Canis lupus familiaris: one gene and its partners. The protein of the gene in region 6 purifies or fractionates together with the protein of the main gene of each other region. This does not show direct contact. Links are inferred from orthologs where the notes say so. Each region holds a gene or a part of one and is shown on either strand. Other genes may lie near its edges. The genes, in order: COPS6, ETV4, TRIB2, ETV1, ETS2, COP1 and MVP.

Region 1 (4,144 bases), on a different chromosome or scaffold from region 6:
AACAGAGCTCGCCTGGGTGGAAGCAGGCAGCCTTTGGCCCAGTATAGATGCATCCACCTGACAGGACGGGGTCACCTCAAGTGGCAGAGAGTTCCCAATCAGGCTGTCCTGCCGAGCAAGGCTGGAACCAAGGGCCTCCTTTCAAGATCCGAGTTGAGAAAGCCGTGTGGTGCCCAACAGAGAGGACAGAGCCACTGCAAGGGGTGCTGAGGGGCTGCTCCTCTTTTATTATCAACAGGAGGTTTCTCTAAAGGGAGTGTGATGCCCCTCCCCTGTGGGACCACTGTCCAACCTGTGCATCGTCCCTTCAAGTACCCTCTCAGAAGAAGAGCCCCCGCATCCGCCTGCCGATGCCTTGTCGGTCATAGAGGACGTTGAACTTGTTCACAAACTGGTTCATGGTGTTGCAGGTTTTGGTAATGGTGCCAAGGTAGGCCATGAGCCCCACGTCATTGCATTGCTGGAAGGAACAGAAAACCAGTTGCCCAGGGAATGTCTGAGTCCCGGGTCCTGCGTGCAGACATGATGTACAAACCCCACGTCCCCAGCCTGGGTTTTAGACTCACATCGTAAAAGTCTGTCTTGAACTTGTCTGTACTGAGCACAGGGAGGCAGTGACACAGAGCATAGGCCTCCCGCAGGATCTCATGGTTAAAGGGAACCTCTCCTAAAGGCACAGAAGGACTGCATTAATGTGGATGAGGTCACCCTCAGGAGTGAGAAAAAGTGGTAGGCGTGCCAGGGAGACGCCTGTCCTACCCGCTTCAGAGGCCTTGACATATTCCAAGATGAGCTTGACCCGGCTGTGCAGCATCTTAATGGCACTGTGTTGTGCTATCAGGTGTTCGGCCACTGGGGGGAGACAGGGAGAGGCCAAGGTTGAAAACGCACCTGGCCACGCTTTCCACCCCCCACTGCTGAGGAAACACCTCCAGTCTTCCTTACCTGTGGAGTTCTCGCCGCTGCCTGTGGCTGTCATTCGGGCCACGTGGTCGACGCCAATGCGTTCAGCTTCCTCTGTGGCCAGAGTGTAGGTCAGTTCCGCAAACAGCATCGTGGCCTACAGGGCACAAAAGCAGAGTCAGGAGCAGGAAAGGCCAAGGAGCAGGACCGCGGGGTTGAAAGGCAGGGCATTACCTCTCCATTGATTATATCGATGACAGACTCAAAAACACTGACGGGAAGCTGTAAAGCAACGGGAGACAGCTCTTACATCAAGTGCACCTGGGCTACCGTACTGGCTCTTCTGCAGATTTTCCCAATCTTCCCAAGGGCCCACTGAAGTAAGGCTAACCCCCACCTTATACATAGGGCAAAAAGCAGTTCTGAGATTAAATGATTAACCTAAAGTCACACAGCTGCTGAGCGGAGAATTCACCTCAAGTGAAGATTCAGCCCAACAGAGATGTAAAGCACAGCAGGGGAGGAGGGTAAGATTGTCATGCTTGTCCAGCACCGTGCCTAAGTGGGCATGGGGTCAGTATTACTCACATCTGTGTGCTTGGTCATAGGATTCAACTTAAGAAAGAGAGGGCTCTCGATGATCTCGCACACCTGGAAGGGAATGGGGATGTGGGTGTCAATGCCCATCTTTCCTCCCCTGCTCAAGCCCTGCCCCAGCATGCACCAGCATGCATGTGTACCTGCTTGTGGACGTGGATGTCAGAGGGGTCAGGCGGCCCCCCGGTGGTATACCAACCCAAAAACTCCAGCTCCTTGAACACCTGTTTGACTGCAGGGGAAAGAGCACAGGGTATCATTCTTTAAATCACCCTCCCTTCATTGGAAACTCCTGGTATATTTTTCATCAGCTTCTCCCCTCCCCGCTCAACTCCTGGCTCAGTTCTCAATAATTAGTCCCTTCTATCTTCTCTCATCTATTACTGTCTGGGGGGTGGGTACCTAAACTGTTCCTTTTCTGAGATCCTTTGTGATACTCTCCTCACACAAACACAGTTCTTGTCCCATTCTCCTATTTTTCCCCATCACTCTCCATCTTCCCCACTCTGCCTTTGTTTCTCACTCCCACTCCTCACCCCCGAGTCTATCCCCCTCTCACACTGCTCCTCCTTGGTGTAGTAATACTCCTTGTCAATGATAATCTTCTCCTCCACGGTGTGGGACAGCAGCTCAAAGGAGTTCATCACCTCGATATTTCTGCCCTCCTGCTTCCCGATCAGCGCCCCAATCACTGGGGGAGAGAGCGACACGGAAAACAGGAGGGTTAAGAATCCGGTCCCTGGGTCGAGGTCAGTGGGAACGCAATGCTGGAGACACGGTGACCTGGGGAGGGGGGACTGGCCTCAGGAAGGGCGGGGGCAAAGACCCCTACTTGGGGCAGGTGACCAAGGAGAGGAGGTTGGAGATTGACGCCCAGCACGCACCCTGCATAGGCCGCCCCTCCTGGGAGCGCATGCGAATCCAATGGTCTGAAATGTTGAGAATGACGAGGGGATGAAGAGCGACGGAGACGCTCCCCGTCACGCCGGAGGCCATCACGCTGGGGACTACTGAGGGTGGAGGAAAAGGAGGACGAGTGAGCGTCGGGGCCGCACGTTCTGCCCCGGAGCTGCGAGCGGGAGACGGCAGAGCCGGAGCCATACATCCCTCCCGCAAGTTAGTCCAGGGGGCGGGATCGCCGTCCCGACTGCTGACTCCTCCCGGGAGTCCAGGGGGGCCTTGTCGCTCCCCGGGGGGCGTCACCAGAGGCCGCCTCCGCGAGGCCCGTTACCTGCCGCATCCACCTCCATCCCGCTGCTCCCTCCAGTCCCGTTCGCCGCCGCCGCCATTTTCCCCGCGCCCGCCAGCCTCGGCCCCGCCCCCTCCCCGTCGGCTTCCGTAGGCCAGCGGCGCATGCTCAGTGGGCGCGGGGCCTCGGCGGGTGGGGCGGGCGGCCCCGGAGCGGGTGGACTTCGGAAGACCGGGTCCGCCACGCGCTTGCGGCGGTGACAGATCTGGGACAAATTACTTCACCCTGCGCGCTCCCAGCCTTACCGTCCTCGTCAGTAAAACTGGGATAAAACGGCCCAGTTCCTAAGACTGTTGCAGAATTAATGAAGAACCACGTTATTGCCCTCAGAACAAGATCCGCGCCCGGGCCATGGCGTGCAAGGCCCCGCAGGGTCAGGACCCTGCCTGCCACCCGGCCCTCGGTCCTCGTGCTTCAGCCGCGCCGGCTCCCCTGGCAGTTCCCTTCGTATGCCCCACGCCCACGTGCGGGCCTCTGCCGCGTCCAACCCGACAGCCAAGGACCTAAATAGGTATTTCACTGAGTGGATAATCTGAGGTGAAACCTGGTCGCGAATGGTTCACCGGCGTGTCCTTTCCTCCTTGCAAATACCGTATTACCTACATACTAGGAACGTGCCCAGCACTCCAGCCCTTCCCGGCCTCCCTCTATCCTCCATCTCCAGCAGCCTTTCAAAACTCGCTTGGGACAAACCCAGCCCACTCCGACCCCTCCCCACTCCTACGCCCAAGCACGTCGCTGTGCACTGCGTTTACTCCCCCTTGCTCCCCTACCCATTTGTCTAGCTGGTTCTTTCAGTGTATGCCTGTGCCACATCCAAAGTGAAAGCTCTCAGAAAGCAGGTGAAGACCTGTGCCTTGAGCCTGCAGAGCCCACTCCAGTGCCCGCAACCAGCAGGTACCAGGAAATGTGTTCCAGTTTCCTTCAGTTCCAGTGTTTTAGCAGCATCTTCAAATCTTTTTCTTTGTCCCTCTGTTTCTGTAGTCACATCGCCTTGTGCGATAAAACCCCTCCTTGCTTCTTTCTTATAAAGACACCTGGCATTATATACAGTGCCCACTGGGATAACCCAGGATAATCTCCCCATCTGAAGATCCTTAATCATAAATCCACGATAATCTCCCCATCCGAAGATTCATACTTCAATCAGATCTGCAAAATCTCTTTTTCCCTGTAAAGTAACATTCACAGGTTCCAAGGATTGGGACCTGGCTGTATTTGGGGGCCACTGTTCAGCCCGCCATAGCACACGCAGCCCACTGTGGGGGAGCTGGAGAGCAGCACCCTCAATCAAATGGTCATTGTCTTTATGATCCAGAATTATGTCAGTCCATGAAGAGAATCCTGGTGGCCGAAATAAAATTAAGTTGGAGTTTGCTAGGCTCCCTTTTGCCT
Region 2 (4,414 bases), on a different chromosome or scaffold from region 6:
GCTGCTGCCAACATGCCAACCTCAGCCCACCCCTACATCACAGCCCTGGGAGCTGCCCACTGTGGGAAGCACAGGGACCCTCCGCTGACAGACAAGAAGCCTGGCAAGCCGGAGAGAAATCAGGCATTGGGAAAGGAAGTCTTTGAGAGACCGTGGAAATTGACACCTCTGCGTTCTTCAGCTCCAGCCCGGTCCGGAACCTCGGGAGGAGGATGGGCAGACTGGGTATATACTCTGTACCTAACTCAGAGCTGGACGCCCAGGGCTTGCAGAGTCGGGGAAGGCGTGTGCAATACCCCCCGGATCCCCAGATCCCTCCGGTACCCATATAGCCAGCCATTTGGTCACGAATTTCACAACATGTCTTGAGCTTTTGCTCTATGCTAAATAGTCATTCTGCTTATATACATATTTTGGGGTTACCACGGTAGTCAAGACAGATGGTCTTACTCTAAGGATCTAGTCAGGGGTCTTTGCCTTCTACCTCCTGCTTTTAAATTTTAAAGATGGTTCCAGAGGAGCTGGGTTTGAGCTTTAAAAAATGACCAATGATACCCAGGTGGAGGGATATCCTTTACGGAAATCCTAAAGAAAAGCCCTTAGAAGGGGGTTCCTAGTATAGTGGTTTCTAGGTTTTCATAGTGTTTAAATAAAGGGATCCTAAGATGGGGGTATTAACCCTTCCCTCGCAGACTGTCTAAACATAAGCCTTCTACCTGCCACCCCACCAGCGACACCCTGAGGCCCCACCAAAACGCACCAAGGGATCCAACCAGAAGACCCTCAGAACACAGCTCCCTATCCAGAGGAGGCCCCACTCCAGACTCCACCTCAGCCAGCTCATGGCTAACCCCCCAGCAAATACCCTAAGCCAAAGTAGGGGGAATTTGCCTGGGGCAGAGGTATTCGGGAGAGAAGGAGGGAGGATCACTTGCCATCAGAATTACAATCAAGGATATGTGGGGGTGGGGGGGGGGCGAGGGGTGAGCCCAGGGCCCTCTCTGCCAAAGCGCTGCAAAAAAGAATTATTTAAACTTTTGTTGTGCTTTTGGCTCAGACAGTAAATTGTTTAGCCCTGGGGGTTGAGAAGAAGAGAAACCAAGGGGGTGAAAATCAATGTTTTGGCAGCTCCTGAAGATAGGTTACAAATTAATTGCTCTTTCTCCTCATCCTCCTGTCCCTTATCCGCCCCCCTCCCCAACCCAACACACCAACACACACCTCGGCCTGGCGGCTGCAGCCAAACAAACTTTGCAAATGAAAATTTCAACCAGGAAAACCAGGAAAACGGGCCTGGGGCCAAGTTCCATTCAAATAAGCAAATACCCCACACAATGGTCTGATTCATCCCCAGGCCTAGTTACACAAGCCTGGCTCAGGGCAGAGAAAATAAATATCAATATAAGTGTCCACATTGGGCGCTGGGGAGAGAGGGGAGTAAGGGGGCTGGGGGGGGTCCTTGGAGAGCTCCTTTGGGCAGAGACAGAGAAGTGGGTTAGGTTGGAACATCAGGGGTAGAGAGCATCCCCCACCCCAATAATAGAAAAGGTCACAAAACTACTCACCTTCAGCAAGCCACGTCTCCTGGAAGTGACTGAGATCCTGGAAGAGATCTGAGGAGTGAATAATGGAATTGGAGGTGAGATGAAGGAGATGGTGAGAGGGAGGGAGCCCTAGAGAGCCGGGTGACCCTCCCACACACACTCCTTGAGGGTAGGGGCCCAAGAATAATCAAGAGTCCCTTGGAGGGGAGTCTTTTGGGGAACAGGGCGGTGGCTCCAGGATCGGCCCTCGGGGCGTGTGAAGTGAGGAGGGTCACGGTTTTCTCTCCGGCTCTTTACCTTCGGAGTCGGGGGGCGGCAGGGAGCCCGGGTCCATGAGCTTCCCCTGCGGGACCATCAGCGCTTCGCGCAAGCTCCCATTTCCGGGCGATTTCTGCGGGGAAGGGGAAGAATGCCCCCGGGTCACCCTGAGGCCCCCCGGCCTGGGGGGCGGGGCTGGGGTCCCGGGGTGACACAGAGGCCGGGCAGCGCTGGGCCCCGTTGGGGCCGCAGGGCAGGGCTGGGGGGGCGGGGTGCAGGGCGGGGGCGGGCGTGGAGGCCGGCGCGGAGCTCACGCTGCAGAAGGTGTAGGGCACTTGCTGGTCCAAGTATCCGCCTTTCATCCTCCGCTCCATCCGGCCGCTCCCTCCGGCCGCACCGCCCGGGCCCCGCGCGGGGGCAGAGACCTGGGGAGGGGGGGCTGCGTTCGCACACCGTCCAGGGAAGGCAGCGGGGTGGGGGCGGGTAAGGGCAGCGGGGAGGGGCAGTCCGGGGCTCCGGGTCCGACAGCAAAACTTCTCCGACTCACTCAGGCGCTGGGGAGGTTTCCGCCTGCCGAGCTGAGCGCCGTCACCACTCCCCTCCCGCCAAAGGAGGTCCCACCTGCTCCTGGGCGCCGGGCTCGCCGATTCGGCTGCTTTCTGCAGCCCTGCTCTGCCCAGGCTCGGTTACATAAGACGTGTGTGTGTGTGTGTGTGTGTGTGTGTGTGTGTGTGTGCGTGTGTGCGTGTGCGCTCGCGCGCGGAGCGGGTAAGGCGCGCACCATTCGCACGCCCACAACTCCCGCGCCCCCTCCAACCCCGAATCCCAGCGCCTCCCACACCCCCCCCGCCCGCCCTAGAATCTGCGGAGGCGGCGGTTAGAGAGCGCAGCGTGTGTCGGCGGCGAGGCGAGGAGTCTCGGACGCTCTCCCTCCCTCCCCCTCCCGCAGCCTCACCTGAGGCCGGGGCGTCTGAGCTGGAGCGGCGGGGGGTCGCGAGCTGGCCCCGGGGCCTCACCGAGGGCCGCGGGGCTAGGCCGGAGCGAGGCGGCCCCGGCCCCGGGTCCCCCGCGCACCGGCTTGTTTTCCGGGCGCCGCCGACAGTTGTGAGCCCGGGGGAGCCGCTGATTGGTGCATTTCCTTGCCTCCCTCGGCTCCCTTACCTCCCCCCCACCACCCCGTTCCCTTTGTTTCATTGACTTTTGTGAATGAAACCCTAGGGCCGGGCACGCCCGCCAATCCGGAGACTCGCCCGACCGGGCCGTGGGGGGGCGGAGTTTCCCAGAGGCGGGGGCCAATCAGAACGCAGGGGCTGGCTCCCGGCTTCATTCACGGCTCGGGCTCCCATTCATAAAAAAATAAACTCCTCCGCGGCCTGAGTTCATTCATAAAGAGCTGAGAGAAAAGGAGCGAAGCCGAGGGCCCGACGGCTTCCTCGCGGGGCTCCGCCGTGTCCCTGTGCGAAGCTCGGCGAGCTCCTCGGGCTGGCCCGGCTGGCGTCTGCACACGTCTCTGCATCTGCGTGTACGTGGGAGTGTGAACATGTCTGTGTGTGCGCCCTGCGGGGAGGCGAGCGGACTTGTGCCCAGAGGAACAATAATAACTAGCATTTATGAAGCGCTCCGCTTCCACGTGCTCATTTCATTCCCATAACCTGGCGAAGTGATTCTATTGTTTCCATTTTACAGAGATTGAGAAGGAAAACTCAGGGAAGGGTGGTGACTTGGCTGCGGTAACTCAGCGCAGCTGGAGTTTACAGCCCCCAATCTCCCACATCCCCCCGTACAGCTCTTTGAGGCCACAGCTAAATGAATTAAGGCTTTGTGACAACAACTGATACACAGTAGGCCCTCAATAAATGTAAGTTAGCACGGAATCCAGGCTTTTCCTCAAGGGTCTGCTCTGCGGAGCTGTTCTGTGACCCACTTTCTGTTGATTGCCGCAGAAACCGGAGGGCCCCGCATGGACCTCTGAAAGCGCAATTCCCGCTCAGCCATCTTTCCTCTTAATCTTCAGAGCAAACATAAGATCTTAGGGAGAAAAGCCCCAAGGCATCTGATGACCTGGGGGTGGGACTCAGTTAAAGAGCTGGTCACAGGGACTCCTGGGTGGCTCAGCGGTTGAGCGTCTGCCTTCAGCTCAGGGCGTGTGATCCCGGCCCAGGGCATGATCCCGGTCCGGGGATCGAGTCCCACATCGGGCTCCCTGCGAGGAGCCTGTTTCTCTCTCTGCCTGTGTCTCTGCCTCTCTCCTTGTGGGTCTCTCATGAATAAATAAATAAAACCTTAAAAAAAAAAAAAAAAAAAAAAAAAAAGAGCTGGTCATAGGCTCTGGTCCCTCAGTCATTCACCAGTTTGGTCAATAAACATTTATTGTGCCAGACACAGTGCTGGGTACCCCCAGGAGGCAGCTGTGACCAAGGCAGACACCTGATAAGAGCTGGGCTGTTTAGGCTGTAGTCATGCGGGCACACAGGACATGAAGTACCCCCCAGGCCTTCTTTCTGAGATGCTCTCTGGATCTACAGTGCATACACTCCTTTGAGGAGAGCCTGAATTTGTCCCCTGCTTACTTGTGGTGCACACTAGACACTAGCTGAACCCCAGGCCAGTTG
Region 3 (3,650 bases), on a different chromosome or scaffold from region 6:
AAAATCCTTGGCCAATTGTACCTTCCCTGAATCGTGACAAGAAGTTAAAAGCTAACAGTGCGATGCCAAGATGTGTGTCTGAGGCAGAGAGTTTTGATTCTGTCGGGATCTGCAACTATTTTGGAACAAATGAAAAGTGGGGTAGGCGGAAGCAGCCCAACTGACAGGGGTGGTCTCCGGGGGGCTACATCAGGGAAGAGGAGCTCCAGGGGCACTGACCCGACCCCAGACCCCCACCCCACATCTCTCGCCCCCCCTGCTACATGTTCAGCTAGCTCCTTGAAGGTTCTCCTTCTTTGAACCGAGAAACTTGAGTGTCAGTGTCTTTCTTGCTACCAAGCCAGGCGATGCGTGTCCTCTGGAAGGACTTTCCACTGCCCTCTCTCGCTCCTGGTACCTGCTAAGTCTCTGTGGGGCATGAGCTCAGTTAAAGAAAGGGTCCAAGTTCTCTTCCATGTTGACATCCGGCACCAGCTGATCAGACACTTCCTTAGCACCATATCCTGAATTCGAGACGCTAAAATCTGTAGAAAACCAAGGATGGTCCAGAATTTCCTGCGAGGTCAGCCTCTCTGAGGGCTCCCGCCGCAGGATGCTTCGGATGAGGCACTTGGCCTTGGGTGACAGAGTCTCTGGAATGTTGAACTGGCCACGCCGGATCTTGCTGAAGAGGGAACTGGGCTCAATGTCATGGAAAGGGTACCGCCCCACCAACATGGTGTAGAGCATCACGCCCAGGCTCCACACGTCGGCTGCTTTGCCCGAGTAGCTGCCACTGGTGTTCAAGATCTCCGGGCTTACGTAAGCGGGGCAGCCGTGCTTGTCGGAGAGGGAGTCGTCATCCCCCCGCAGGATGTAGGCATCTTCCAGGCTTTCCAGCTTGACCCGAGTCCTGCAAGAGAGAGGACAGCGTGAGCTCCTACAGGTATACTGACACACATGGATCTCATCACAGCGTCATTGCTTCTGCTCTAATGTTTCCGAGATCATCCATTCATTCATTCAACCTGGTTGGCCAAACACAGCTTACTGAGGGCCTTCTAGGTGCCAGACCCTGTTCCATGGTGGGGGGGGCCCAGGAGTGAATAAGTGACAGGGAATTTGCATGAAGCTTAAGAGCTATTGGGGGACCCACACCTCCAGCAAGTAAATAGACCATAAATGACATGATTATGGCCCCATCTCAGTGATGAGGAACTAGGAGGTTCCTACTATTCTCAGATACATCTAGGGGGTGATGGGGATTCACAGGATTTGAACTCAGACCCAACCAACTGGGAAGCTCCCAGTAGCTCTTTCCATAGCCCTGGCCAGCTTCTGGTTGACATGATACATTCTAAAATGACCTTTCACTCAATGGCATTTTGGCTTTATAACAGTCCTTTTGTTAGATATCTGAGATTTTAGGATTCCAGTTTACAGGTAAGAACATCAAGGCTCATGGAGTTTAAGTAATTTGTCCAATGCCTTTTGACTAGGAAATAGAGAAGACTTGGCCCCACACCTTCCTTAGTCAACCTGTTGCTCCTTCGCCACTACCAAGCTGCCTCTCTGTAGGACATAGGCAAAGCTGGGGAATGTTCCTACAGGAATGCATTACTATTAACTAAGCCCTTCCAAGGCTGACAACTTCATCGCAAGCCCCTCTTCTTCTTCTTCTTCTTCTTCTTCTTCTTCTTCTTCTTCTTCTTCTTCTTCTTCTTCTTCTTCTTCTTCTTCTTCTTCTTCTTCTTCTTCTTCTTCTTCTTCTTCTTCTTCTTCTTCTTCTTTCTCTTCTTCTTCTTCTTCTTCTTCTTCTTCTTCTTCTTCTTCTCTTCTTCTCTTCTTCTCTTCTTCTTCTTCTTCTCTTCTTCTTCTTCTTCTTCTTCTTCTCTTCTTCTTCTTCTTCTTCTTCTCTTCTTCTTTTCTTCTTCTTCTTCTTCTTCTTCTTCTTCTTCTTCTTCTTCTTCTTCTTCTTCTTCTCTTCTTCTTCTCTTCTCTTCTTCTTCTTCTTCTTCTTCTCTCTTCTTCTTTCTCTTCTCTTCTTCTTCGTCTCTTCTTCTTCTTCTTCTTCTTTCTTCTTCTCTTCTTCTTCTTCTCTCTCTTCTTCTTCTTCTTCTTCTTCTTCTCTTCTTCTTCTCTCTTCTTCTTCTTCTTCTTCTTCTCTTCTTCTTCTTCTTCTTCTTCTTCTTCTCTTCTTCTTCTTCTTCTTCTTCTCTTCTTCTTCTTCTTCTTCTTCTTCTTCTTCTTTCTTCTTCTTCTCTTCTTCTTCTTCTTCTTCTTCTTCTTCTTCTTCTTCTTCTTCTTCTTTTCTTCTTCTTCTTCTTCTTCTTCTCTTCTTCTTCTCTTCTTCTTCTTCTTTCTTCTTCTTCTTCTTCTTCTTCTTCTTCTTCTTCTTCTTCTTCTTCTTCTTCTTCTTCTTCTTCTTCTTCTTCTTCTTCTTCTTCTCTTCTTCTTCTTCTCTTCTTCTTCTTCTTCTTCTTCTTCTTCTCTTCTTCTTCTTCTTCTTCTTCTTCTTTCTTCTTCTTCTTCTTCTCCTTTCTTCTTCTTCTTCTTCTTCTTCTTCTTCTCTCTTGTGTCTTCACTTCGTTCTTCGTCGTCTTCTGCTTCGTGCTTCTTCTTCTTCTCTTCTGCTCTTCGTATTTCTTTTCTCTCTTCTTCTTCTTCTTCTTCTTCTTCTTCTTCTTCTTCTTCTTTTTTAAAGATTTTATTTATGAGAGGCACAGAGAGAGAGAAGAAGAGACATAGGCAGAGGGAGAAGCAGGCTCCATGCAGGAAGCCCGACGTAGGACTTGGTCCCGGCACTCTGAGATCACGCCATGAGCCGAAGGCTCAACCGCTGACCCACCCAGGGCATCCGCAAGCCCTTCTTCTTTCCAAGATTTTCTGTTGAACTTGCCTCCTGTCTGGCCCGTCACACTCCCAGGGGCTGGTCCTTGTCCTGATAACGATCTGCCTTAGTTTTACCTGTAACCTCGACCTCTAGGTGTCAAGACGTAGGTGACTGGTTTCTCTTATGTGTGTGCAGGGGTATGTGTGTCAATCTTCCCAGTGCCACTGAAGGACGACTGAGCTGACAGGCTCCAGGGCTCTCCCGGAGGCACGCATGAACAGAGGCAGAGAAACTCCACACCGACTTCTGAGACTCTGGGGTCCAGCACTCATCCTCACCCAGCAGGGCTTGATATGACCATTGGGCACAAAAATAAGTGCTCAGTAAATACTTAGGGACATAAGTTAAACTCGTAAAATGAACTATACTAACTTACAAGTGAACGAAGCTGAGGACTAGGACACAACGTGACTTGCTCAAGACTGAAGACTATCCCCCACCCGGCGCCAGAAGCTCCGAGACCAGCATTTCTCCTGGGCTCAGGGGCCTCCCAAGATGTCCCATTTCCCTGGTCTGCCGTCCCCTGTGTGGAAAGCTAAGTATTGCGACCCTTCAGTGCTTAAAATGGAAATCGTCCTATTCTCCTTGCTGGAAGCCTCCAACAGCAGAGCTCTTGGAGACGTTAAACCCCAGAGGCTCAGTCCCATTCCATCACATCATGAAGGCTTGCCACGAAGATGACATGGAGCAGGGATGAGGGGCTGGAGTCAGGGTAGCCCAGAGAGTAGCAGGCCCTACAAGGGCCTATGAGGTCACTGTCATTCAGACCAGTTGATTC
Region 4 (3,650 bases), on a different chromosome or scaffold from region 6:
TTATGCAGAGTGAAGCACTATCAAATGTTTTAATCTCTAGATTGCTTCTGCCTATAAATGTGACAGGCTATCCTAGCCTTGTCAATGAAAAAATAACTCTGTGCTTTTCTAATCTCTTGCTCTCTATTCCTTATAAAATTTAAGACTATCTTCTAAAAAAATATTTTCTTAGTACAAAATTGAAGAATATTTAGTAGTCAAAGGGAATAAATAATCAAGATAGACAGCTCCCCTAAATATTAGTGTGACTTAGGCTTGTTAGATTATATCATAATCCAATTGGTAGTTTTGAGCTATTTTTTCTTCCTTAGATGCCCATTCTGGTCATCAAGAGTTTTTTTAAACGTTAAGCTCACTAAGAATGAAAAACAAAACAAAACAAAACAAAAAAAACTGATGAAGGTCATTCCAAAAAGTAAAGGCTTTATGCTTTGTCTTAAGAGAAAAGGCTGTATTTTAAGAATTGTGATGCTCTGCTAATGATGCTAAATAGCACATATCACACTGAAACTCGAAGCTTAAAAAACTAACATCTATTTAGAATAAGGCCAAAAAAGTGACTCCTAATGGAGCTTAACCCTGTGACCTTGAATGAATTTAGCCATTTAAAGGAAGACTAAGGAAACAGATCTTTCCCAAATTATCATTCTTTCTGAGAAGGACCAGAGTAGCAAAAGCCTTAGGAACAGAGTAGTCTTCAAGAAACTAATTAGAGATGGAGAAGCAATCTGAGCATGCACTTTGCTGTTTAAATAATGACAATTAAAAACTTCTGAGAGCTACCAAGTCATTACAGCCATGATCCCCAAAGTTTGTGCAATCAGCTAATCAGAGGGTCCCTGCTCATTTCCTGTTAAACAATCAAAGCAGGAAATATGGAGACCACTCTGAAGAACCACTAAATCAATTAACTGTTCACTTTTTACCCAAGCTTCCTCGTAGATGCTGACTTCTACCACCTTTGTCAAGGAAAAAAAATATTTTTTTCTAACTTGACACTCATTTCTAAAATCTGGGACTGTTTCACTGCAAGAGACAGTGATAAAAAAAAAAAGTAATGCTTTCCTAACTCCATTTTAAGCAATTACAAAGTAATTGCACATTAGTAATGAACATCTTCCCAGGGAAAGAAAAGGAAAAACAAAAAAGAAGGACTAACAATCACTAACTAAATGGGCAGCTATGTTGTTCCTGTGTTCCATAATGCATCTTTTCATGAACAATAAAAGGAAAGAAGCTGCATTAGTCATCTGTGCATCCACAGTAGCATGCTTTCTGTTCTGCTTTGTTAATTATGGGATCAGCTTTCAATAAATCTCAAGCAACAAGCTGCATGTGCTCTGCAGGGCAAAGGAAAGACCCCTCTTACTCTACACAAAGCTCAGCAAGAATGATACTCTCTGGTCGGATCTTTAAAAATGAGACCTCTCATGGGACAAAAGAAAAAGCTTCTGAATAGGGGAAGGAAGAGAGAATTTATAAAAGGCAAAGTTTAGCAAGAGTTAAATGCATCGTAAATGATGTGCATAAAAATCGTTAGGGCGCGATGTCAACTGTTTTCAGGGGAGTCGAGGGTGATCTTTCCACTCCTTCTCAGAAAAATTCAAACTTGAAGCACAGTGAGAAACCTACCATCAAATTTCTCTGGGACAACACAGGTGTCATCATAAAACTGCCTGGGGCCCTTCTCAAACATACAGCCTGTGGGAGGAAAAGAGGATACATTTATTCATGATAGAAATGAAGCTCACAAGCAATTTAAAATATAGCCATTAGCACAAAACTTGGGGTAGGAAAAGGACTCTGCCAGTTTTCAGCTCTGTGACCTTAGACACACTGTTTAGCCTCACTGTCTCTGTTCCCTCACCTATAGAATGGGAATAATGATAAATCACCTATCTCAAAGGGTTGTTGTGAGGAATAACTGGTTTAATATATGCAAGTTTAGAATAGTACCCAGCACACAGTGATACACGACAGATATTTATATTATTACCAACCCAAGCACAGAGCGGTTAACACTGGCAAGCCTAGAAATTATAAAGTATCATCTCCTTTTTCATTTTCTTCCAAGTTTTGTTATTTATGAGATAGTAGGAAAATCAAGATGAGTTACTCGTATTTACCTTGCACAATTACTTCCTGATAAACTGAAACACATTCTGTTTACCCCTTACTTCCCTGGAAAAATTTTTAGCCAGGTTAACCTCCTAATGTTTTCATCTTCAACAGACAAGATAGTTTTAATTTTCTTTTTTTTTTTTTTTAGCTTTTTTTCCCTGTAATAAAACTAAGTCCATGGAAAAAAATGCAAAATAAATCAACAGCTTTTAGCAATCATTTTCTCCCCCATGTATTCATGACTGTGACCCTCACTGAATCATTGTCGTCCTTAATCACCAGTAAGAAATTTCATATACTTTAGCCACAGTTTTCTTTCTCAGATGTACTGGTCTCTACAGTGAGTGCATAATATTAACAACAGTAGTGACAATAATCGCACTGCATTTTTGCTAAATTTCTGGTCCCAAATATTTTGGACTTACCAGCTTATTATATACTCTTCTTTAAAGACAAGCATTTACTTCTATCGATACCACTTATACAAAATAACCAGTATTAGACCTAACCTAAAAAGATGCATCTGTGTCATCTTCCTGAGGACACAGAACGTTTATGTCATGAACTATGCACACATTTCCAGAAACTCCTTAATAGGGAATGTATCTAAAGAAGATTATTCATTACTTTGTAGGTTATCAAAGTCCGTTAGATCAAAGCTTTCCCACGTGATTACCATGAACACATCCACAAAAACTCCTTCTGTAGGTCTCTGATGTGAAATTCCATTCTAGCAATTACTTATATAAAAATGAAAAATCCAGGATATTTAAAAGCAAATATATTTAAAACTACTCTCTTTTATTTCAAAACACAGACTTGGGTCTGTAAAGCAAAACTGAAATTCCTCGAAGATACATTTCAGTAGAGAGTAGGAAGGTAGGCTAATCTATAAAGCACATGTTCTATTTTAAAAGAATGTGGTTGTTGGCCAAAAAAAAACCCCAAAAAACAAAACAAAAAAACCCCACAGAAATCCACTTTTCAGCTGTTTATACACACATGACTCCTGTTAACCAAATTCAAGATAACATGAACTGAAACATCTTCCTTTTACTTTAAAAAGATAAAGTTTTTTAATAGTGGTTTAGGGAACATAAAATATGATGATTAATCAAATGACTGCATCTTTGGTACATCTGATTATTCTGATCATATTTACAAGGAATTTCAGTAATAAAAACTTAACTTCTGTTCTGCTGGGATGAGCCAGGAAGCCTTCTTGCCTCATATAAATGGAGTGGCAGCTAGGCACTTCTGAAAGAAGAAACATCAGTTAAAGAGCAGTTTGGAGCTGAAAATGTTATCAATAGACAGAGCAGTGGGAAAATAAAAGAAACTGACATGAATCTCCATGAAGGGAACTTGTCAACACTCAGTTAACATTTCAGGCAGGGCCCACACAAGAAATGGAAAGCTGAGGGGCGCCTGTGTGGCTCAGTCTGTTAAGCATCCAACTTGATTTCGGCTAAGGTCATGATCTCAGGGTTGTGGGATCGAGCCCCATGTGGGACTCCATGCTCAGCAGG
Region 5 (2,868 bases), on a different chromosome or scaffold from region 6:
TGAGGGGGCTTGAGGGAAGCCTGATTTATATAGGGCCTGCTGATTTTCATGGATTAAATATAAATACTCTTATTACACCATCACATTCAAGGTACCAATATGTCACTGATACAAAGTTGGGAAGGGACCTGTTCTCACCCGCCTGTGGGGAGGGACTCCAGCACACCTCTGATATAACCCACCTGTTTGCTGGCATCCTGATGGACTCTGAAGTGTGTTTGAGAACCCATCTCCGAGGACCATCACTCTCACCTCTTGGTAAGTCAGCTCAGCCATGTCAGGCATCCTGAAGAAAGTCCTTGAAGTTCGAATGCTAACGGGGTTCCTCACATAAGCATCCTACAAACTCTTCTGTTATCTCTGCCAATCCCCCAACAAAGACAAGGTGCCTGTATCTTTCTATTCTAATCCCCCCCCCTTTTTTTTTTTTAAATTCTAATCCCTTCTTAAAGAATTTTTTGATTTAAGGGAACACTTTTTGGGGTCCTTAAGAAAGAGCTATAGTTGGTTGTAGCTTGGTCATGATTTACTAGGTGACCTGTGTGTAAAATTGGCTAAATGGACAGTGGATCAGGGTTCACTATCCTCACTCCACCTCCCCTCCTCCCTGTTGGGGTGGGATGAATGAGGATTCTTACAAGGAAGCATTTATATAAACAAAATACTTTATTATTTGAGAAAGAAAAGGCCAGATTACAAAATCTTTATACTGAAGTCTGTTCATTACCACACCAAAGGTTTATAATGGGCTTTAGTTTCTGTAACTATTAGGTTGAACCACATGAAACTGCCAACTTTGTAGATAAAAAAAGTCAAATATTGGCAATTTCATGTGGTTCAACCCCATATAAAATGAGCCAATGGCTAAGATTCCCTTTGGCAGCAAGATGTTCCCAGTCACATGTCTGTTGATGTTATAAACAGATGTCTGAGTGATAAACATGTCCTGCTTGAGAAAAACATCCTGTGCTTAGACCCTGGAAATGGTCTCGTGTAGGTACTGAGCGACTGGTCCCCCAGCTCCGGGGTTGCTCTTCTCAGCAGGCCCCGCCACCCAGCTTCTCAGCCTTATTACACAGATGGCCTCTCCTCTAGGGACACCAGCCCCTGCTCCGAGTGCCCTCCCACATTGCAGGTGAAGCCCGTCTGGCTCTGAAACCAGGATGACTTGATCATTTCCAAGCATCCCGAATGCACGCCCACCCAGGGGGCTCCTTCGAAACCACCATGAAAATTCTCCATCGTGAGCAAAACGTTTTTCTCACATCAAATCCTCCAGTGGATTCTCTTTCCCATCTTGCTTGTCCTCTCTCTGCCTCTGGGCATTCTGCATCCACGAAAACAAGAACACGGAGCTGTGGGTACTGCGCATACAGGAGTAGCATCGTGTCCGGACAGCCCACGATTCGCCAGGTGAGCAAGGACAGGACAAGTCGGGTTTTGCTCACGACCTCTCCGTGAAGATCACCCTCCCGCCTCCCACCTGCCCTAGGCTTCAGCTCCCAGTACAATATGTTTAACTTCACACGGGACGCAGATAAAAATAAAGCTTTCTTACAAATTACATTTTTTTCCAGTGAATTACTTCTGCAGTAAAAGTAGCTGCTACATAAATCCCTCCTGCTCTCTGAAAAGGAGCCACATTATTTCCAAAAATAGCATTCTTATTTTAATCATACAGAATAATTTGGGGCGCGGAGGTGGAACCCGGGAAGGAAATGGCTGGTCGGGGAGGTTAGTTGTTGGGGAAACACAGTCGAACTAAAAAATAAAATAAGTTTTGTGTAGAAACGGATTTAAAGGCATGCACGGAAATGGAATACATATGCCATTTGTCAAGAAAAATACTGCTTTATAGCTTTTACATTACAATTAAGGAGAAAGCAGAGGCGAGATGCGCCTCCAGATAATAACATTAAGTGTTTTTATAAAAATTCCCAAATGTACAAAGTCCTTGCCAGATAATAATCTGGGCAAAACAAAACAGAAACAGGGACTGACCCTGTTAGACGTATACCTGTAGGCATATCAAATGTAAATAATACAGACTTTACAACTTCTTCGTCTGGCCTGGCAGACTGTTTGCAAAACGCTGCTGGTGCTCTTGGAAACCGCAGTGAACACCGGACGTCTGCGTTCTCATTTCAAATACATTTGCAGAATTATTTTAAATTACAATATACAGTTCTCGTTAAATAGGACTCTGAGAGGATTCTGACAACAATTATTAGGGTTACAGTCATATATACAAACTAACTTCTGAAATGGCACGCCTGGCTGAACCAAAGAGACCACTTCTGCCTTTGTGATTCCTGGCTGCCAAAGGCAAAAAAAAAGGCAACAAACAACAACAACAACAACAACAAAAAAACGTGTGCCCGAGGCATGCTCGCTCGCTCCTTTGGAGAATATCCAACGGCCTGAAGGTTCCTGCCGCGCGGCCTGCTCGGAGCCAGGACGGCTTCCCAGCGCTTCCTTCTCGGCCATTCTAAGAGCATCATAAATAGTGTGTTCCCGTCAGCAGGCTTTAGAAGTGGGAAACCATGCTGCTTTGGGTGAAAAAGCGCGGTTTCCGAGGAAATAAGGCCACTGCTTCGTGGGGACTTTCCTGGACGCGTGCGATCCCGCCTTTCAGGGTCCTTGGAGCAGTCGGTGGGTCGGGGGGCTGCCGGCGCAGCACAGGGGGGGCCTCAGTCCTCCGTGTCCGGCTGGACGCCCAGGATGGCATGCAGTTCCTCGGGGGTGAACCCCAGCAAGTTCTGGAGGTCGCACACGAAGCGGTACACGTAGCGCTTCCCCGACGTCTTGTGGATGATGTTCTTGTCGTAGTAATAGCGCAAGCCGCGGCTCAGCTTCTCGTAGTTCATC
Region 6 (4,246 bases):
AAAAACAAAAACAAAGAACAACAACAACAACAACAAAAACCAATGCCAACTGCTTATATTATCCTATGGCTCTCTAATTCCCTACAAAATAGTCAATATACAACTCATGGTGCCTGGCAGACAGTTGTGCCAAATAAATATCTGTTGAATAAATTATTGATTCTCTTATTTCTCACATCTTCACTACTATTTCAGTGCACCTATAGGAATGCTGGCATATTTGTTTTCTTTTAACCCTCTAAAAATTAAAATGTGGGGATCCCTGGGTGGCTCAGTGGTTTAGCGCCTGCCTTTGGCCCAGGGCGCGATCCTGAGGATGCGGGATCAAGTCCCACGTCGGGCTCCCGGCATGGAGCCTGCTTCTCCCTCTGCCTGTCTCTGCCTCTCTCTCTCTATGTCTATCATGAATAAATAAATAAAATCTTTTAAAAATAAAATAAAATAATTAATTAATTAAAATGCAAATGGTGGTTAAAAAGACAAATCCAAGCAGCGCGGGTGGCTCAGCGGTTTAGCGCCGCCTTCAGCCCAGGGTGTGATCCGGGGATCCTGGGATGGAGTCCCCACATCAGGCTCCCTGCAGGTAGCCTGCTTCTCACTCTGCTTGTGTCTCTGCCTCTCTCCGGGTCTCTCATGAATAAATAAATCTTAAAAAAACAAAAAAAAAGAAGAAGAAGAAAAAGAAAAAGAAAAAGAAAGAGAAAAAGAGAAAGAGAATTTTTGAAAATCCTCATTTTGTTTCATCAGCTTCTACTTCATCATATGGCACCCTACTTACTGGGTATGAGCATAAACACCTCTTAGACCCACCCATAAGCTAGTTAAATTATTTATAAATAACAATTATAGCCAAGTTTCAATGAGAAACGAATTAATTGTCTCAATCCAGAGTAATGTAAGACCAAAGCAGAAATAGGAGTGAAGATAATTTTACTGCAAGACCTAGAAACTCTAATCAATTATCTTTCCTACAGTTCCATCGTGTAGCCCAATCTTACTTAATGATGCCAACTCACATCATCTTCAACCCTGAGGTAAATCAACTTCCCCTATAATGACAGCGCAAGCCAACTTCCTACTCATGTTCTAAGTCTATCAACAATTTCCTCCAAAAGAAAAGTGCAAAATCCTACCCGTTCTCACTTAACTAGAAGCAATTCCTTTCTCCTACTCCTACTGTTTGGATTGGGTTCTGGATACAAAAACCCAATGAGAAATCCCAAAACACTTCCAGCAAGACAATCCACTCCATCTCTCACTTAATATAGATAACCCAACTCTGCCAGACATCCTAACGGTATACTACTGTGTATCGTTCAAGATGCCAACTATGATGACAAGGTGTCTACTACCTGGCGTTCCTCAGATCGGAAGTTCCAGGGCACTGTAACCTGTTACACAAATGTAGTACAGCTACATCCGACACATGGATGCTGTTGAATAAATGTGGTTCCCTCGCGTCCAAGGCATTTAGTGACAAGTGGAAATTTTTGTGAACAGATTTTTATGACTACAGTAGCCTCAACAGCAGATTTAAAAGTGGCCTACCCTTTGAAGTGGGAGGATATTTATACACACACACACGAGGGATACTGACATGAAATACTACTTCTCCTTAAAATATCCATACCCACGTCTGGAGCACCATCTACCACACTTCCAATAAGCAAATTTGACCAACTCCGTCCCTCGGCCTCCCAGGAAGCTTAATCCTCTCCTTTTACAAGTTCAACAAGAAATCCGGACCGACAGGGTGTCGAATTCACCAGAAAGCAGAAAATTCACCAGAAAACAAAAAAACAAAACAAAAAAAAAAAAAAAAAAAAAGCAAGGCCCAACTTTCCCCGTTTACGCACCACCATTTACCCGACCCTCCTTCTCGGCCCCCTGACGCGTAATTCTTCCTTGGACTCCCCTCACGTCCTCCCCAGCAGCCCGGGCCTCCGCAGTCACCCCCACGTCCTCCGCCGGCCTGAGGGTCTGCAGACGCCGCCCCGGCACCACCTAGACCACCCTCCCGCCGCACCCCGCCAGCCCACACCGCGCAAACTCCTCGTGCCGCGGCGGGCAGGGCGATGCTCTTCCAACTCACCACACGAAGTCGTTGCTTTTGTCCTCGTAGGAGTTGATGAGCCCGTTGCACAGGGGGGCGAGCAGAGGTCTCTTCCGGCTGCCGCTGCCGAGGCCGGAGCTGCTCCCTCCCACGCCGGCGCTGGGCCTGGCCGCGCAGCTGAGCCGAGACTGGCCCGCGGACACCGCCCCGCCGCCGCTGCCCGACACGGCGGCCGCCACCAGCACAGGCCGCGCCGCCGGGCCCCCGAGGCCGCCCGACCCCGCGGCCTGGGCCGCCCCGCCGGACGCCGCCGCCGCCGCCGCCGCCGCCGCCGCCGCCGCCGCCGAAGGGGGCGACGGGGAGGAGGACAAGGACGAGGAGGCGGAAGTCACCGAGGAGGCCGCCGAGGAGCCGGGGCTGGTCCCGGCGGAGCCCGACCCGGCCTGGCGGCTCCCGGACATCGTGCCTCCCCCACCTCCGGCCGGGCGCTCGGAGAGGGACCGCGACCCGCCGCCGCCTCCCTCCCCTCACCTCCCCTCAACCTCAGTGCATCCTGAGGCCGCGCGCCGCGCCGCGCCGCGCCGGGAGGTGGGGCTGAGGAACAATAAAGTTGATCTTTTTTTTTCTTTTTTCTTTTTTTTTTTTTTTTTGTTTAAGGCGAGCACACAGCCGCGTCCGACGGGAGGAGGGGGCGGAGGAAACTGAAACAGCGGAGGAGAAACCACTGCCGCCGCCGAGGCCGCCACCGCCGCGAGCCCCGCCGCAGCCAACCGGGGCGCGCCGAGGGCCGGCCGTGCGCGCGCGCGAGCGGCGGAAGGGGCGGGAGCGGCGGCGGAGACAACCTCGAGGGCGGCTGGGACGCGCGCGGCGCGCCCCCGGCGGCGGCCTAGCAACGCGGGCTGCGCTCGTCCGCAGCCGAGCGGCGGGTGACGTACGGGGGGGAAGGGGGGAAGGGGGAGGGGGAGGGGAGGGAGGGAGGGAGGGGGTGGGGCTGTCCCAAAGGGTGAAAGGGCTGCGGAGAGGGGAATGAATGATAGGGTGGCGCCCGCGCTTGGGAGCTGGCGGGGAGGGGAGCGCGCCGAAGCGACTGCGCACGCGCTCTGGGCGCCGACCCTGGCTGCCGCCCGGGTCGCGGCCCCCCGCTCGGAGCGGCGCTGGCGCGGACCGGCTGCAGCACTGCGTGGGGCGACCGCCTTCCTGAAGGCCGAGACGCGGCTGCAGCCCGCGGCCCGGGCATGGCAGGTGCTTCCGAGTCGCCTTCTGAAGCCTCCGTGGACGCTACGGGAAAGACCCGGGGCTCTGAGCGGCTGAGAAGAGCCCTGCATTGACCCTCCACGAGTCTGGGCCCTGCTGTTAAGCCATTCATTCCACGCGGCTGTGAGGAGTCCATTAAGATGAAGTCAGTCACCGGTGCTTTGTAAATTGCAAACATCGTAGCAAGTGTTATCGATTATTATTGGTCCGACCGTGCTGTCTTGCATCTTGAAACATGAATTTACCAAATTAAGCATGACGATGACGAGAAAACCAGTTCTATCTGATCTGACCACGGCTCAGCCAGAATCTCGGTTTAATGTGGATCTGATATCCTCTACCACAAAACAAGGAAACCTGGCGCTTAATACCACGAAAAAAAGAAAAGAAATGTGTAATTTCTGGTAGCTTTTTGGAATACGGAAAATTGGATACAGGTTCTTCATTTGCCATTTTGAGACTCCCCAAGATTCTGGGTGATGTAAATTAGAAACAACTGGGTTGTTTTCGGTATTCTTTTCCAATCCTCGTCCTGTGGTTCTTAGAGGGAAAGATCCCAGATTTATTTTTGTTTAAAGATTTTATTTATTTATTCATGACAGACACAGCGAGAGAGAGAAAGAGGTAGAGACACAGGCAGAGGGAGAAGCAAGCTCCATGCAGGGAGCCCAACGTGGGACTCCATCCAGGGTCTCCAGGGTCACAACCTGGGCCGAAGGCGGTGCTAAACCGCTGAGCCACCCGGGCTGCCCAAGATCCCAGATTTAATTCTGTCCTTTGAAGACCTTTCCCTAGGAACCTTTATCCATGCTGAATGAACTGAACCAGAGGGGCCCTGATGAAAGCCCAACAAAAAGACCTAGCCATTCATCTGAGCAGTGTTCCATCAAAAGGCTGTCATCCCCACATCAGCCTTTGCTGCTTACCTTCCTACCTTCC
Region 7 (4,413 bases), on a different chromosome or scaffold from region 6:
AGGGGAGCTTGGGTGGCCCAATCAGTTAAGTAGCCAACTCCTGACTTAGGCTTAGGTCATGATCTCAGGGTCGTGAGATGGTACCCTGCATTGGGCTCAAAGCTCAGTGCAGTCTGCTTGGGACTGCCTCTCCCTCTGCCCCTCCGCTTGCACATGTGCTCTCTCTTGCTCTAAATAAAATATCTTTTAAAAAATAGAAAAAAAGGTTGAGGCTACACAGACTGAGCCATCCGGGCATCCTGACCATTACTATATTTAAAAGCTTCCCCACTAAATCTAATACACAGCAAGGACTGAACTCTCATTATCTTGGGCCACTTGCTAACTCTGAGCCGGAGTGTCCTAGACTGAGAAGTGGAAAGAAAAGGGACTATTTCCTGGGCTTGAAGAGATTAGTGGCCACAGGGTATCTCTAGTGCACAGGCTCAAAGTAGGGGGCTGGGAGGAAGGAGGGAGATTTAAAGACAAGCTCAGATTACAGACTGCTCCTCAAGGGCAGGGCATTTGGCATTTGGTTATTCACCTCCAGCCCAATCCACTGCCAGGCCCAGGGACCCCCTAGCCAATGCAAGTCCCCTGCCCCACGCAGCCTGAAGTTGGAGGGGAGGCCGGTGGCCCAGCCTGCCACTATCACCTCTATCAAACTCAGGTTTAGGGGTCCCTGGGTGGCGCAGCAGTTTGGCGCCTGCCTTTGGCCCAGGGCACGATCCTGGAGACCCAGGATCGAATCCCACATCGGGCTCCCGGTGCATGCAGCCTGCTTCTCCCTCTGCCTGTGTCTCTGCCTCTCTTTCTCTCTGTAACTATCATAAATAAATAAAAATTTAAAAAAAACAAAAAAAAAAAAACCTCAGGTTTAGGAAAATGCACGATGCCTAGCATAAACAAGGGCTCATTATTGCAGTTTCCCTGATTTTAAACATTCTAGACTTTGGGGAAGGCCAGAAGCCTTCACTATGCACAGATGTTTATACGCTGGTTTAGTTTAGGGAAATTATTTTCTGCTTTAGGGGACTTTTGAGAACTTGTCTCATACTGACCACAACTGTGTAAGAGCAAAGTTTTAGGAACTTTCCTTCCTAGGGAAGACTTATCTGAGCTCCAGTCCAACTACTTTGTGGGAGGAGCAGCTTGGTGGCCTCACTGGAGCCACAACACATCTGCCAGCTCAGAATGCTTCTTGTCCTATCTCCCGGACACTAATTAATGCTCATCACTGAAGGCAATGATTGCCTAGTTGAGAAGTGACCCAGGAACCAGGCTTCACAATTCCTGATCCAGATCAGTGTTTTCTAAGCTCACTCCATCATAAGACCCAGCTGAGAGCATTGCTCCTGTTCATGCGGATTCCCAGGCCTCACCCAGACCAGCTGAGTTTCCAGGAGGCTCCGGAACATGTATCTTTGGCAAGAGCCCCCAAATAACAGCTCCCACTTATTAAGGAATTAACCTGTGCTAGGTGTTGTGTGCCTTTTAACTCATTCATCTAATCCTCACAGGAACCTAGAAGTTAAGGAATTTTGCACAACGGTCAAAGGACAGGGTCAGAATCCTGTCTCTTACCCTACCTGCAGAGCTCCCAAACCAGGAAGTAGCCTGGCTTCTTGGCACAAAACAGGGACCTAAGACCAGGGAGGGAGTTGCGGGGGGCGGGGGGGGGGGGGGGGCGCTGCAGGTAGCCTCCAACAAACAAGGAGGCCCAAGTTCTTGGAGCCCGGGGTGGGGGTGGGGGGGTCAAGGGGCATCCACTCAAGGTGGCTCCTCTACCAGCTCCTGCCTCTGGAGAGCTGCCTCGCCCAGAAAGCTTCACCCCAGGTCAGGCCTGTGTGCCAAGGGCGGAAACAGGCAGGAGTTCCCAGGGAGCACACAGGCTGGCACCCCATGTAACAGAAGGCTTCCCCCTCACAATCCAGGGTCCCCCCAGGGCAAGGAGCAGACAACACAGGGACATCTGTCTCAACCCACTGTCTCCCACCCCTCCAGACTTCACTCAAGAAGAGCCAACCCTAAGATGTCCACAATCACAGACTGGCAAGCCCAAAGGAATTTTGGGTTCCTTCATTTCTCCCAAAGAGAAAAAGAGCCTTGCTCAACAACCAACCCCCACACCTTCTAGAAGTCCAGCCTACCTCAAATTGCTTTCCTAACCACTTCCCACATGGTCCCACATTGGCATAGCCTTTAGTGAGGCAATAGGAAAGCTTCATTTGGCAGAGATGAAGGATCCCGGGGGCAGGGGTAGGGAGAAATCACATTCTAAAAGCTCAAGAGAGGGATCCCGGGGTGGCTCAGCTGTTTAGCGCCTGCCTTTGGCCCAGGGCGTGGTCCTGGAGTCCGGGGATCGAGTCCCACGTCGGGCAACCTGCATGGAGCCTGCTTCTCCCTGTCTCTGCCTCTCACTGTCTCTCATGAACAAAAAAAAAAAAAAAAAAAAAAAAAAACTTTAAAAAATAAATAAAGGCTCTAGAGGACAGGCCAGAGCCCAGGCCAGCCCCAAGGGGGAGCAGACAGCAGGGACCCAGGAGGGAGTATAAATGGACCCACTTTCCTCTGGCCCTTACTTCTGATGTGGGAGCCCCTGAAGTCGAGAGGCCTGAGATTTTGGGGGGTAGGGAGTGTTGGCAAGGTAACAAGTTGACCAACCTTTACTTTCAAAATACAGAAAAAAGAAAAAAAATCCAACAAGGAACGTAAGCCTCCACCCACCTTCTTCCTCCTCAGGGTCAGAGAGGTCTTACCTGCCCCGGCAGAAGCAAGCGGCCCTAGAAGGCAGGACCAGGCTCAGAGAGCCTGGAGGGACACAAGGCCCCACCACTGGTTTAGGGGTGTTTAGGACCAGTACGAAGTATACCCGGAAGGGTGTCCGCTGCCACAGATCCCTCAGATGGGGGAACTCCCTGGCCCAACCCCAGGGATCACTTCCTGACAGAGGAGGGCAAGCTTGGGGGTGGGGCTTGGCCATTTAAAGAGCCCTTGCAGCTGTTTGTCTCCTTTTTTTCCTATGGGCGGCTCCTCTGGCAGCTGAAGGCACTGCAGCCCTTTCAGCCCTCAGGAAGGTCCCGCCTCAGAGCCAGCTGGCAGCACTGGAACGAGAATTGGGGGCAGGTGCTGAGCTCATCTCTGTCCCATGTGGCTTTAATTTTCATTTCCCCACCTGAGTGACTAGGATCCTGATCCGGCTGCTCCAGAACTGGGTTCCTGCTGCAGCCCACCCTCTAGGAGAAAATAACTTTGTGTTTTTTTTATTCTAGATTCCAAAAATTCAGCCCAGGTCTCCAAATAAATGTTCAACAGAAAGCATAAATACACACACATGTCCTCTTTCTGGCAAGGTGCGGTGTTGGGAGCTTGGGAGCTCTCTCCTCTTGCCCAGTTCCCAGTGCCCAGAGTTAGGGAAGGAGAGCCCAGAAGGTATAAGCTCTGCACGCTAAAGGCTGCAACAACACTCAATATTTCCGTTGCCGGGGGAAGAGTGTGCTCCCTGAGGACCGGAGCGGGGGGCTGGTGGGGCTGGGGTCCTCTGAGTCCAGGCTGAAGAGATCCCTGCCAGTACGAAGGATCTGCTCCTCCAGCTTCTTGTGTCGCTTCATGTCTGAGAGGACCTTGTCTAGGCGGGCCTCCCGTTTCTGGCTCCGGGCGGAACTTCCTGGAGAAGAGGAAGGTAAGAAATGTGGACGGGAGTGAGGTGCTGTGCTCCAGACCTGCCTACATATTACTCATTGCTTAGGGAGCTCATTAAACAGAGATTTTCAGGTCTCTGTCACAGAGGTTGTAGGATTTGAGGTTGGGCCTCAGATGGGGTAAGCAGTAAAGGGCTGACTTACAAGAAGGAGCCAGTAATGTGAAAACCAAGGTAAAGATATCCAGGCAGGGGAAGAGCAAGTGGAAAGGCCCCAGAGCAGGAACAGGGAGGTTTGTTCAAAGGGTATAGAGAGCTGGGGTATGGCAGGGAGAAGGAAAGTTGTGGCTCAAGAAACGACTCTGAGGCCATGATGAAAGTTTGGATATCTTAGGTCAAACGGAAATAAATTATCTTTGGAAACTTTGGCGGCCCAAAAAAAGTCAGGGGGAGTTGTGGTGTTTGGATTCCCTCTTGATATGCTCTTTCCCCCAACAATGGAATCCTTTGGAGAATTTTAAACCAAGTAGTGACATGATTTATATTTTGAAAGGATCATTTTGGTTGCTGAGGAGAAGCAGGGAGGCCAGTTACGAGCCATGGCAAATATCCAGGCAAAAGAAATGATGGCTTGGGGGTGCCTGGGTGGCTTAGTCGGTTGGGCTTCTGACTCTTAATTTCAGCTCTGGTTGTGATCTCAGGGTTGTGAGATCCACCCCTCAGGATGGGTTCTGGGCTGGGAGTGAAGTCTGATTAAGATTCTCTCTCTCCCTCTGTCTCCCCTGCCCGCCTTC

The links.
Region 1: the proteins of COP1 (region 6) and COPS6 purify together in Homo sapiens (affinity purification with western blotting; 3 studies listed by BioGRID and IntAct, with this or other methods). This does not show direct contact. The link is inferred for Canis lupus familiaris from reciprocal best matches to the Homo sapiens genes COP1 and COPS6.
Region 2: the proteins of COP1 (region 6) and ETV4 purify together in Homo sapiens (affinity purification with mass spectrometry; 5 studies listed by BioGRID and IntAct, with this or other methods). This does not show direct contact. The link is inferred for Canis lupus familiaris from reciprocal best matches to the Homo sapiens genes COP1 and ETV4.
Region 3: the proteins of COP1 (region 6) and TRIB2 purify together in Homo sapiens (affinity purification with mass spectrometry; 4 studies listed by BioGRID and IntAct, counting the BioPlex papers as one, with this or other methods). This does not show direct contact. The link is inferred for Canis lupus familiaris from reciprocal best matches to the Homo sapiens genes COP1 and TRIB2.
Region 4: the proteins of COP1 (region 6) and ETV1 purify together in Homo sapiens (affinity purification with mass spectrometry; 4 studies listed by BioGRID and IntAct, counting the BioPlex papers as one, with this or other methods). This does not show direct contact. The link is inferred for Canis lupus familiaris from reciprocal best matches to the Homo sapiens genes COP1 and ETV1.
Region 5: the proteins of COP1 (region 6) and ETS2 purify together in Homo sapiens (affinity purification with western blotting; 3 studies listed by BioGRID and IntAct, with this or other methods). This does not show direct contact. The link is inferred for Canis lupus familiaris from reciprocal best matches to the Homo sapiens genes COP1 and ETS2.
Region 7: the proteins of COP1 (region 6) and MVP purify together in Homo sapiens (affinity purification with mass spectrometry; 3 studies listed by BioGRID and IntAct, with this or other methods). This does not show direct contact. The link is inferred for Canis lupus familiaris from reciprocal best matches to the Homo sapiens genes COP1 and MVP.

The regions. Positions count from the first base shown.
Region 1 is NC_049227.1:9,446,754-9,450,897, forward strand, and holds COPS6 (COP9 signalosome complex subunit 6), read right to left. Parts: upstream 2,881-4,144; 5' UTR 2,856-2,880; coding exon 2,732-2,855; intron 2,511-2,731; coding exon 2,385-2,510; intron 2,192-2,384; coding exon 2,060-2,191; intron 1,733-2,059; coding exon 1,644-1,732; intron 1,555-1,643; coding exon 1,492-1,554; intron 1,186-1,491; coding exon 1,138-1,185; intron 1,061-1,137; coding exon 946-1,060; intron 853-945; coding exon 760-852; intron 668-759; coding exon 567-667; intron 461-566; coding exon 320-460; 3' UTR 202-319; downstream 1-201. UniProt on the Homo sapiens protein: Component of the COP9 signalosome complex (CSN), a complex involved in various cellular and developmental processes.
Region 2 is NC_049230.1:19,589,850-19,594,263, reverse strand, and holds the start of ETV4 (ETS translocation variant 4), read right to left. Parts: upstream 2,802-4,414; 5' UTR 2,758-2,801; intron 2,539-2,757; exon of another isoform or gene 2,350-2,538; intron 2,228-2,349; 5' UTR 2,177-2,227; coding exon 2,117-2,176; intron 1,936-2,116; coding exon 1,842-1,935; intron 1,640-1,841; exon of another isoform or gene 1,614-1,639; coding exon 1,566-1,613; exon of another isoform or gene 1,437-1,565; intron 1-1,436.
Region 3 is NC_049238.1:9,260,629-9,264,278, reverse strand, and holds the end of TRIB2 (tribbles homolog 2), read right to left. Parts: intron 893-3,650; coding exon 424-892; downstream 1-423.
Region 4 is NC_049235.1:28,726,907-28,730,556, forward strand, and holds part of ETV1 (ETS translocation variant 1), read right to left. Parts: intron 3,379-3,650; coding exon 3,310-3,378; intron 1,702-3,309; coding exon 1,633-1,701; intron 1-1,632. UniProt on the Homo sapiens protein: Transcriptional activator that binds to DNA sequences containing the consensus pentanucleotide 5'-CGGA[AT]-3'. Required for olfactory dopaminergic neuron differentiation; may directly activate expression of tyrosine hydroxylase (TH).
Region 5 is NC_049252.1:33,538,015-33,540,882, reverse strand, and holds the end of ETS2 (protein C-ets-2), read right to left. Parts: coding exon 2,691-2,868; 3' UTR 648-2,690; downstream 1-647. UniProt on the Homo sapiens protein: Transcription factor activating transcription. Binds specifically the DNA GGAA/T core motif (Ets-binding site or EBS) in gene promoters and stimulates transcription.
Region 6 is NC_049228.1:23,215,940-23,220,185, reverse strand, and holds the start of COP1 (E3 ubiquitin-protein ligase COP1), read right to left. Parts: upstream 2,841-4,246; 5' UTR 2,515-2,840; coding exon 2,093-2,514; intron 1-2,092. UniProt on the Homo sapiens protein: E3 ubiquitin-protein ligase that mediates ubiquitination and subsequent proteasomal degradation of target proteins.
Region 7 is NC_049227.1:18,042,472-18,046,884, reverse strand, and holds the start of MVP (major vault protein), read right to left. Parts: upstream 2,895-4,413; 5' UTR 2,739-2,894; intron 1-2,738. Other genes in the region: PAGR1 (PAXIP1-associated glutamate-rich protein 1), read right to left, coding at 3,447-3,646. UniProt on the Homo sapiens protein: Required for normal vault structure. Vaults are multi-subunit structures that may act as scaffolds for proteins involved in signal transduction. Vaults may also play a role in nucleo-cytoplasmic transport.